Sus scrofa: one gene and its partners. The protein of the gene in region 2 interacts with the protein of the main gene of each other region in a biochemical or structural test. Links are inferred from orthologs where the notes say so. Each region holds a gene or a part of one and is shown on either strand. Other genes may lie near its edges. The genes, in order: CNTNAP4, APBA1 and HTR2C.

Region 1 (3,748 bases), on a different chromosome or scaffold from region 2:
GAGTGACCTCTAGTGCCTTCCTTTTTTGTTGAACTTCGATAGTTGTACGATGAATTACTTTTCTACAAAACTGTGTGAGTGTGTGTGTGTGTGTGTGTGTGTGTGAGTGTGTGTGAGTGTGTGTGCATGTGGCTCTGTGTTGTTACTGTTTGTTGTAATGTTTGTCAAGTGCTACCAGCATGCCAAGATTTTTGACTAGGTGAAAACATGCACCGTTCACTGACTCACGGGATTCTGACATCCCAAAATTTAAACAGCAGCACAGGGCAGGGCCTGAGTGAAGTTCTTTCACAGTGACAGATGACACCAGGACATGCGATGATACTGAAGGGGAGCACGAAATCCCCGTGGCCACACAGGGTAAATGATCATTTGACTGGTGCCAGTGAGGTCATTTACAATGCTCTTCCCACATCAGAGCACTTTCGTACACTCCAGGGATGTGTCATAACAAATGCCTGCTCACTGGTGTATTCGTGTCCCCCAAACCCAAACCTGGCTGAACAGCAGTAACATAAATTCCTGAAGAGGCCTCATAGCTCTTTCTTGAAAAGCAGATGAGCTTTTAAAATCCAGGAAAGAGAGAAAAAGTTGTATTTGCTGAGCTTGTTGATCACTCATCAAAGGAGAGGGAAAATGCTCCCATTTTTGAGATTTTAAGCCAAAGATAACTTTGACAACTTTTTCTTATCTCTCAAACAAAGTGGAAGAAGGGCTCTCTGCCACATTATTCTGGATGATACTCAAATTAGAAATAAGATCTTAATAAATCTTCCCTGAGCCCATTAATTCAGAACCAGCATATTCAAACACACATGTACAAAGTTAAAAATTCGGCCACCAAAGAAATCATCTGAATGTTCAGGAAATCATCTGAATTTTTTTGTTGGTTTTTTTTTTTGGTTTTTTTGGTTTTTTTGTTTTTTTCAGGACACAGCATGTAGGAAGCAAGCCCCTTCTCCCAGGAATGTTCGAGTCTCATTCTTAGAGCAGCGAGGGCGCAATTTTTAATATTGAAGTTTACCTCCACCAACTGTGCCCCTGAATTCTGCAGTACATTTCAGCTATTATTCTGGCATCATTTTATAGATGCAGCCAGCCATCAGGCTGCCAAATAGCAAACTTCAGAAACCTAAGCTAATGCAGCATAGTGTAAAGTCTGCCAGTTGTTTTCCTGTTAGACTCAATTCCAATAAAATCTAGTAAACCTAAAAAAGGAAAGAAAGGAAGCCATGCACAGGCGATTCTCTGGTCAAGACGCTCATTTAGTGTTTTACTAGAACTTGAGCCTTCTCAGGGAACACACAAAGACCAGAGGATAAGATGCTGCGCCTAGACAAAAAGACAAATGACACTTTGCATATTCTGATCAGACCAAAAGGAATGACATGTGTCAACCCAATCATATGTGCAAGATTTTTAAGTGATGCTTCATTTATAGCAACATGCTTTGCGGCAATTCCAGTTGTAAATAATAATCATAAAAAACGAGAGAATTAAAGTTTTGCAGAGAGGCCCCCTGCAAGTTTTAAATCATTTGCTGGATACTTACAGGAATTCCCAGCTAAAACCCTGTTCCAATTTGGAGTAGATAGCAGAAGTAGCATCTTGAGGACAGCTCCGGTGACAGACCCCATGTTCACATTTATCTGGCCTCCCCAAAAGATCTTGAGTGGCTCTCCAAGGGATCGGGTCGCGTTCTCTGTCCCTCTCCCAGTTCTGTCTGGGTCTTCGGCACCTCTGGGTCTCTCAGCCTCTCTCCTTCTTTCCCTTCTCTCTCTCTCTCTCTTTTCCTCCCTCCCACCCTCCCTCCCTCTCTCTCTTCCTCTCTCTCTCTCCCTCTCTCCTTCCCTCCCTCTCACTCTCACACACACAAACACACACACACCACAGCCCTGACTGCTCCCTGAAAAGCGCCCAGCATCTTTTCTAACGAGCATCCACACCGCCGAGGCCACGCCCACTCCTCTCCGCCGTGGTCCCAGAAATTGGCAGCCGCATCCGTCCTCCAAATCCACAGCCGCGCTCAGAGCTCCACGCGCGCTGCTCTGTGATGAAAGCCGGACCTGGAGGCGCGGCCTGCAGCTCCCCGGCCTCCTCGGGGCTCCCTCCCCTCTGCTCGATTCTTCAATAATCCTTAACCCTTTTCTCCCCTCCGGAGATGTCGGTGGGGGGAGGGGCCAGGCGGTGGCGCCTCCTGATTTTCCGAAGGTCTTGCCTTCGGCAGAGCCAGTCAACCGACCGAGCTGATTCCTGATCAGCCGGGAGGGCATCCAGGTAAAATTGTGTTTTGTTGCAAAACAAAAGCATAAAATGAGACAGCAATAACTAAGCCGCACTGGTAAATTGTAGCTAAAACCGTCCTTGGGGAAAATTCTTGCTGTTGTTTTTCTCTGTTTATATAAAACTATCCTCTTCAGCTCTGGTGCCAGGATTTTATTATGGAAATGCCTCACAAGCAAACAGACATTCCTGTTTGGCAGATATTTAAAATCATCTAGTAATAGCCTGCAAGAAATTAAAATTTCTTATTTTAGTGCATCAGGAGTACAGATCCACAAACTGAATGCTTTGGATAGATTATTTGAATGCATCAGGCTGTGAATTCACAGTGGCATTCTACCATCAAAGTCTTTAATAACAATTCCCAAAAGGCCCAAAAATAAAATGGATACGATACTGAAGAAAGGGAGCTCTCTCACTCACACACACACACACACACACACACACACACACACACACCCCAAACCTAAACAATATAAAGATGTAATTCAAATAGTCTAAAGGAGAGAAGTGTCAAGTTGAGTTCAGAAGACCACAGACTACAGAAAAATCACTCTTCTAATGGCTGATCCATGGATACGGCCAGTTCTTGAACAGAATACTAAAATGATGGAGTTCATACCACATAATAATAACTGAATCACAGAATGTCACAGAATGATAAATAATCTCTTGAAATTAAATGTCAAGATATTTAGCTGATGCTCTGCTAAATTTTATAGACCAGGAATCCTGAGGTTCTCAAGCACTTCCTGATGATTATACATCAGAAGAAACAAGCCTTCGGCAGCAACAACTTTGCTATGGAATGAATGAAATAAAAGGGAACGGACAGAAGTGTTTTCCCATAAAACTGTAAGAGCTAACTCTTGCCTACAAACAAAGCAGAGGATCATTTTACTTTGCCTGTTTTGCAGATGAGAAAACAAGAACAGGGAATTTAAACAACTTGAGATCACAGAGTTACTAAGTAAAGCACTGAGGCTTGAGCTTTGGTTTTCTGACTCCAATTTTCCTGCTCTCTCCCTGGGACTTGCTGCCGCAAGATAAGAGTACAGCTCCTTCCTGACCTCTGTCTGTGGCAGTGAAAACCTGGCAAGGGAAAAAAAAAAAAAAAAAAGGCAGTGGAAAAGAAAGGTCATTGCTTGAGGGTTGACTCTGTATTTCTAGGACTACATTCTGATTTTGTTATTTTTGCACATAACATGTCAAGCAAAAGCACATACAAATTGACAATTCCTGATAAGTGGTTAGTGAAGAGGATTTTTTTTTAGTCATCATTTATATATGTATTTTTTCTACTGTACGGCATGGTGACCCAGTTATACTTACATGTATACATTCTTTTTTCTCACATTACATGTTTCATCATAAGTGACTAGACAAGGGTTCCCAGTGCTACACAGCAGGATCCCATTGCTAAGCCATCCCGAAGGCAACATTCTGCCACTATTTACCCCAAGCT
Region 2 (3,748 bases):
CACAGCAAAAGGTACAACTATTTCTCAGACTGAATTACAGGATTCAAGCTATATCATTAACCTTAATAGTCCCAACTTTAGGAAGCTAAGTAGTGCATTTTAAAAATTATCACAGTTATGTCAGAAAGAAAATCACTAATTCTTGAGTCATCAACTGTGCTGTTGTATAATTATTCTTTTTCAAAACAGTTTATTTATCTTGATAATTAATAATATTCTTAAACTGTCTTATTAGACATTTACATCTCTGAATTTTACCTGCAGATATAAAGATGCCAACTATTTTTTAGAAAATCCAAAACCTCTGAGAATGCCTTTTACACTCCAAAGTACTTTTCTCAGGAAGAAATCAGCAGAACTAATGAGAGTGAAGAACTAAGAATTAAAATTCATTTTTATAAATCTATCCTTAAATCCTGGATGCAGTCCAACAACCTCCCATTAAAATTTTACAAGACTTGACTTGACGTGGGAAATTTAATGTTCACAGCTCCAAGAAAACCCGATCTACAGATCATCATTAATTAAGAGAAGATAAATGGGAAGAAAAAAAATATGTGGACAGCCCTATTATTATTTTCCTATTATTATTTTCAATGCAACTCCTGCAAAAAGAAAATAAAACGATTTTTTTTTTAAAGAGAAAGAAAGCTCTGATGCCAATGTGTTGTATACTTACTTGTGTAGCTATGACTGCTTACAGGCTTTTCAAAAGGATCAGGGCAGCCAGTTTGGATTCCGACAGCAATGCAGTAGAATTTAAGGTGTTATGATTAAAATATGTTCTAAGCAGGTTAATCTAGTCTCATGACATTTTAATAAAGAAATATCAAGATACTAAGTGGAAAGGTACATTCATTTCTATAAATACCGCAGGAGAAACACAGGAGCAGGGAGCCAAACTGCAGTGGACACATATATGAATATGCTATCTCCCTTCCTATCGCTCTCTACCCAGCCCCACACAAGCCTATCTTTATCACGCAGAGACAATTAAACAGCTATTGACTCTGGATGCAATTCTGTGTCCTGGCTCCCACTGGGTGACTTATTCCCAGCCTGACATTTTCCAAATTCCCTACTAGCAGGCTACATTGACTACGCACTGACCTGGGACCTCACCACCATGAGTCTTGGGGGATTTCAGTTCTGGAATAATACATGGTACCACCTAGTCATTGTGAAGCCTGGAAGAGTAGATGACACCAGGAGTAGAAATAAAGTATCCCTTTTCCTAAGGAAAACGCCCTGCCTGTGTGACGTTGACCAAGGAGGGTACCAAATATTTCTCAGTAGGATCTTTTCGTCTTTTAAATACCACCCCTCCCATCTCTTATACACACATCTAGAGTTCATGCTACAAGAATAAACATAAAGACCATATTCTTCAGCCATAAGATTTCCAGTATTTAAATGTGGAAGAAGAAGGTCTAGTTGACATTCAAAGTTGGGGGAAAGAGAGAGGGATGTGGCCATTAAAGACCCTTCTCCTTCAGGTCAGACCAGAGATAAACAATAGAAACTGCAGTGTCAGGGCATCTAAGACCCTTACAGAGCAGGGGCTGAACAGAGGAGAGGTGTCACAGGATGGAAGCTCCCCTCAAAACCTTTCAGAAAGCCCAGAAAGGGTAACCATTACCCTCTTTCTCTGCCATGGGTCCAAAGCCACAGTCACACTTCCACATCCCCATGTCAAAAGACATGTGAGAACAGGGGGAAGTGAGGGTGAGTGAGGAGAAGTGAGAATCCCCACACCCGGCCATCCACGGGGCAGGAGCAGAACAGAGAAGGTACTCAGAGTTGCAGGATGGAAATAACAAACAGTGTCCCACAGTAAACGGGTGACAGCAAGTCGGGGCACCCGCAGATCTCTGGATTTGGAGAGCAGTTTGAGGAGCGTGGACACAATCACACACATACACAGATTCACACACATGGTATTTTACAAATCCGCACCCACCCTGCTGTCTCCCTCCACATTCACACACCAAGTGCCTCCTGCCCACTTCATCGTTGCCATCACCACACTCTTTTTCACAGTCAGCCAAGAGCTGAGGGTTCCTAGCGGGGATTCCTGGAAATGTCGTCCCCCAACACCTTTCATTCGCCATCCCCATCCCTTAGGCTCTACCTTTTACACACACACACACACACACACACACACACACACACACACTCCTGCCATGACTGTCATCAGGCCCGCCGCTGTCCCCAAAGCACTGCATTTCAGCAAGCACCGGACACCCGGCATCCCAATTCTCAACGCCTCCTTCCCCCGCCCCGTTAGCTCCGTGGCTAAAGGCACTGCCCTCTGGATGTCGCCGGCTGTCCCCTCTTATCCGCACTATTGTTCCTCGCAGCTCCTCTCGCGCCCGGGGGCACCCTTCCGCTAGGACCGGGGCTCAGTCGGGGGCAGCATCAGCGCCGGAGAGCCCCCATTCACCCACCCCTCCCTGGCGGTGGTACCTTGCTTGACAGCTGGGTCCGCGGGCCCGCGGGAGCAGGCGGCGCTAATGACAGCGTTGGTGCCAAGCCTGGGAATAAAGCTCCACTCCAGCCGCTCCTACCTCTACTGCCACCATCTTCTCCCGCCGCCGCCGCCACGACCTCAGCCTCCCTCGCCAATCTCGGGCTAGGGCTCTGCAGCCGCCGCTCGGGCCCCTTCGGTCCCGCGGCCCCACCCCCTTCTCCCCACCCTCCCGCCCGCCGCCCGCCCCTCGTGACGCGCGCCGGGGCCGAGCCGGCCGGCTGGAGAGGGAGGGTGCCCCGGGGAGCGCGCGCGCGCACGCCGCGTGCTAGGAGCGCCCTGCCTCCCACGCCCACCCGCGCGCACGCGCGGCGCGCGAGCCCTAAGCAGTTGGGCGGTGTCCTCCACGCGCCGCCTCTGAAGCGCCCCGGTCCCGACGCGGGTGGGCGTGCCTGGCTCTGCTGCCTCTTGTCGCTCTTAAGTGCCTGGCTCGGGCAGGGGCGTCTTGCAGTGCGTGGGCCCCGCCGGACCTCCTGTTCTCTCCTCTGGCTGCTGGCCGGGCGCACTGAGCGTGACGTGGGGTTGTCTCCGCGAGGGGACTGATGGGGACACCCCCGCCTCCTCGGCGGAAGCCCAGAGGGGGTTCCCCGACAGGATGGGCCGCGCTGTGGGACCACGAGGTCGGGCCGCTGCTTTGGCTCCTGAGGGGTGTTCCCTTTGCTGAGTTACTACCGAGCTTCTCTTCTTCCGGCCCTGCCTGCATTTCGCTGCCCCGCGGCTGCACAAGACCCCTTCAGAAAAGAGGGTGGCTGGCGTCTCGGAAAGCGCTGCAGTCCTGCGTTGTCGCCGCCAGGGGGCGAGTCGCTCGGGTTTGAGCTGGAGCTAAACGGGCCGCGTTTGCCGCCCTTGAGGGGAAGAGTCCGTTCCTGGGGGAAGAGCAGAAAGCTTCTGCCGGGAGATGCTCGGCTTAATTTTTCTACCTGCTTCTCAGTTCTGGTTGGTCAGAATTTAGACTGTATTTGAGCCTAGCTTAGGGCATCAGTCCCAGATATGCTTGGGAGGGAATAAGAGTGGGGGTGGGGGGGAGCCTTAGCAGCAGGAACCAGGTGTCAGGTGCTGTGCGTTAATGAAAAGCAGTGGGATAGACAGGCCTCAGGGGACTTGGGCTCTGTCGACAGCCTCACCTATAATTGGCAATGTATTATGAGCGAAATCATTTCTCTTCACAGATTTCTCAGTAATAATAAATGATATTTGCACAAAGCCTTATAGTTTGCAAAG
Region 3 (3,748 bases), on a different chromosome or scaffold from region 2:
CCTCGGTACAGTGCCAAGGAGCCTCGGCCAGGACTTGTGACCTTTCTCTCCCATTCCTTCAAAGAAGAAATCTGCTTTGCCCTCCTCCCACCCACCGGTCTCGGTGTGAGCATCTTCACTGTTAATCTTGGTCCTGGTGCCTGCGAGGCATCTCGGCCAAGGTGGCCCAGACCGCCCTTCTCTGTGCTGCAGCCCTAACATGGAAAGCACTCTCCTGGCGCCTTGGGAGCCCAAGAAAAAGAGCTCTCTTGCCTTGTTGATGATCGGCTCCCCTTAGTTGCCAAAAGAGAGGTTCGTGGTTCACCCCTTGCCCTGCTGTCTTCACTATGTCATGGCAGTCCTCACAGCGGCTGGGCAACCAAATAGCTCTGGGCCCCAAGCTCTGCGCAGGAGAAAAATGTGCAGCCTCGTCTCACAAACCTAAAGGAGCTGGGTTCAGGGCGTCATTCTAAGCACTCAGCTGGGGGCTGGGGGTTCAAGAATGGAAATAAGATGTGCCCTCTTGGAGCACGAAGGCCAAGGACTTTCCTTTCTCCCTTCTTTGTATTTGGGGCTGAGGACAAGGGTGGGGAATCGATCCTTATAATTGGACTAAGGCCTTTGCCCCCTAAATGTATGTGACCCTTTGAATGCCTCAGTTGCTTTGTTGGGGAAAGTGGCAGGAGTCAGGGACTGAATTTCAAAGCTCGTGGTAACTTCCAAGACTTGAGAATTGTTGAACGGAAATGTTCAAGGGAGTGTGTGGGGTGTGTGTGCATGTTCCGGGAGGGATGTTCTTTGAATCTTTAAGGGTACATTCTTGAGGGCCTGGCTCCCCCCGACTGACACCCCCATTTCCCCCCCACTACCACCCTCCCCCGGCCCAGGCCTCATGGATCAAGTTAATCACCACCACCATAACCACCACCACAACCACCATCACCACCACCACCACCACCACCAAGGGGTCCCGCGCCCCCTGCCAGCAGGCTCCAGTTGCACTAAGAGACTGGTCCAAACAGGCCGGGGGCAGTGGATTCCTGAGCGCCGATTGGCCATTCTTGGCTCCGCCCCTCATCCCTGGTTTAGCCCAAGAGAGCGATGCAGCTTCATCGGCGCTGGGTAGGCGCTCTGGTGCTCGCCGAGGACACTCCGCTCCTCGGGTGCACGGATCTTTCCGATCCTGCCTTTGGAGCAGCTAGATTGCCAGCCTTGGCTGCTCCATCGGCCTGCCTGCCCCTTACCTGCGATTGCATATGAACTTTTCTTACCTCTTCTTGCACATCGTTGTCGTCGGAGTCGTCGAGATCGTCGTGGTGCTCCCGTGATGGCCTTCGTCCGTTTAGAATAGTGTAGTTAGTTAGGGGCCACCAAAGAAGAAAGAAGACGCGAATAGCGCAGAGATGCTGGAGGTGGTCAGTTACTATGCTAGAGTAAGATAGTGGAACAAGAAAAGCCAAACCAATCCGGGGGTGCACGGTCGCCCGGAGGAGGTCGACTAGCCGGCGCTTGCTATCGCGCCGAGCTCCCTCCGTCCCTCTCTCCGCCGAGGCGCGAGATTGCGGCGCGCAGCGCAGCGCACTGACTGCCGCGGGCTCCGCTGGGCGATTGCAGCCGAGTCCGTTTCTCGTCTAGCTGCCGCCGCGGCGACCGCTGCCTTGCCTTCCTCCCGGACGCTTGTGGTAAGTTGGAACCCGGGCGTCATTGCTAGCCAAGACCCTAATGGTTTAGGCGGGGGATGGCGTGGCGAGCAGGGACAGGTCCCGTACGTTGCAGCTTTCAGGACCGCACTGGCCCGGGCGGGAGGTGAGGGGGGCGGGGATTGGGAGGGACTCTGAACGCGCAAATCGCGGAGAGTCTGGGGTCTTAGGGAGGGGCGAGGGACTTAGGTTCCAAGGGAGGGGCACCGAGGTCTCGAGAGAGGTTGGGAGGGGTGACTCCAGAGGAACAGGCGAAGGGCGAAGGCGGGGGTCTCTAGAATACGCCCCCGGGAAGCTGAGAGTGAGGGGAGGCGGGCGTGAGATCTCAAGAAGTGAGAGGGAAGAGGGGAGAGTGGGAGACGAGACTGAACATAGGTGTCTCTGGGCAAAGGTTCGGGCTGCGGAAGGTGCAAATGAATTGAGGGCACGGACTACGTTTTAAAGAAATCTGATATTGGGCAAGTGGGAGGGGGCTTAAGGATTGGGACAATGGAAGCAAAAGGGGACGAAAGATCCTCTATTAAGTTCTCATTGAAAACAGACCCTAATTTTTGGAGGGTCTCAGTAAACACTGATAACTCAGGGGAGACAAACACTGCGGATCTGTGTCTTGGTCTAACTGCTGTTGGCTGAATTTGAACAGGGGTGCTGACGATCACGTAAGTTTAATCGGAGGGTCTAAGGGCGTACAGCGAGCCTTCTTACTAGCTTACCTAAGTCACTTGGTGACAGTTTTATATTTTGAAAAGGATTGCCGAGACGTCTCCAGCGCTGCCTCTTATTCCAGTTCCTTTACTCAGTTTAACCTGACAAGTAATCGTAACAGCGTACCTCGGAATTGCTAAACATAATGAGAACAGGTTGCCGGTCCTGACGCCACATAAAGTTCGTCATTGCAAAACGTGTCTGTGTGTCTGTTTTTTTTCTGCGCCGTGCCCTTTGCTTTTTGCTTCCTGTTGGGTAATAGGCGACCTGAGGTGACAAACATTTTGTATTCTGTCCGAATCCCATTTTAAGCGACAGCGCTCCTCTACTCAAATTCAGCGGGCGATATTCGGCACTTAGAGAAAATCTGATTTGATTGAGAATCACTGCCGGTACCGCACAGCATTACTATTAACTATAACATTACTATTTACTGTCACAGGTCCCCTCCAGAGAAGCCTTTGCTAAGCCCCTGAACAACCTCACCACATATCTTTTAGGTAGGCTAACCAAGGGAATCTCCCTCTAGGGGAAAATCCATTGATTTTTAATGATTGGGGTTAAGGGAGATGCTGCGCAGTAAGTAATCTCTGAGCTTCCCAGTTTGCAGACATTTGTGACCTCACACACACAGTGATGCAAAAGACATCTCTGTTTCAGAATTTAAATTAAGGATTTTATCTAGGAGTTCTCTTGTGGCACAGTAGGTCAAGGATCTGGCTTTGTCACTACAGCAGTTTGGGTCACTGATGTGGCACGGGTTCAATCCCTGGCACAGGAACTTCCAAATGCCCGGGTGCCACCCCCCCCCCGAGAAAAAAGAAAAAAATTTATCTACGTAGCAATCATTCTAACAATCAAAATATGAACATGGTAGAAACCAAGTGTTTCTCTAGTTGACTATATAGGTGTAGACACAATGAAAAAGGCCAATTGACATGCCCTACAGAAAAAAACAATGATTTCTACCATGATCATTGCATTTTTTTTTTTTGCAGTATTTAAGTCACACTGAATACCATCCTTTCAGAAAAGTATGATTTCTTTGCACCATGATACCTTGATGCTTGGTAGTCATCTACCTTTCCCCCATGGGTGGGAGGAATTACATAATTTTTCTATATTTTGGGGAGGTAGGTTATAGAATATTTAATTATATTTCTCATTCCCTAAATATGTTCTTCTGAGCCTTCTGGAAGGAAATAAAATATTTTTTTTCGTTCACACAATTTCTTTCCTAATAGCTTTTATCATCTACAGCAACAAGCCCAACGCAAGTCCTGAGATTCGGAAGGTGGATAAGGCTTTTGATTGCAATGTCAAGGTAGGATCTGGGGTGCTTAAACCAACACTGATAGCGTTTT

What was found.
Region 1: the proteins of APBA1 (region 2) and CNTNAP4 form a complex in vitro, tested with the Homo sapiens proteins (2 studies listed by BioGRID and IntAct, with this or other methods). The link is inferred for Sus scrofa from reciprocal best matches to the Homo sapiens genes APBA1 and CNTNAP4.
Region 3: the proteins of APBA1 (region 2) and HTR2C form a complex in vitro, tested with the Homo sapiens proteins (2 studies listed by BioGRID and IntAct, with this or other methods). The link is inferred for Sus scrofa from reciprocal best matches to the Homo sapiens genes APBA1 and HTR2C.

The regions. Positions count from the first base shown.
Region 1 is NC_010448.4:11,587,338-11,591,085, forward strand, and holds the start of CNTNAP4 (contactin-associated protein-like 4), read right to left. Parts: upstream 2,292-3,748; 5' UTR 2,274-2,291; coding exon 1,553-2,273; intron 1-1,552. UniProt on the Homo sapiens protein: Presynaptic protein involved in both dopaminergic synaptic transmission and GABAergic system, thereby participating in the structural maturation of inhibitory interneuron synapses.
Region 2 is NC_010443.5:222,987,280-222,991,027, forward strand, and holds the start of APBA1 (amyloid beta A4 precursor protein-binding family A member 1), read right to left. Parts: upstream 2,720-3,748; 5' UTR 2,467-2,719; intron 1-2,466. UniProt on the Homo sapiens protein: Putative function in synaptic vesicle exocytosis by binding to Munc18-1, an essential component of the synaptic vesicle exocytotic machinery. May modulate processing of the amyloid-beta precursor protein (APP) and hence formation of APP-beta.
Region 3 is NC_010461.5:94,052,357-94,056,104, forward strand, and holds the start of HTR2C (5-hydroxytryptamine (serotonin) receptor 2C, G protein-coupled), read left to right. Parts: upstream 1-1,090; 5' UTR 1,091-1,661; intron 1,662-3,748. UniProt on the Homo sapiens protein: G-protein coupled receptor for 5-hydroxytryptamine (serotonin).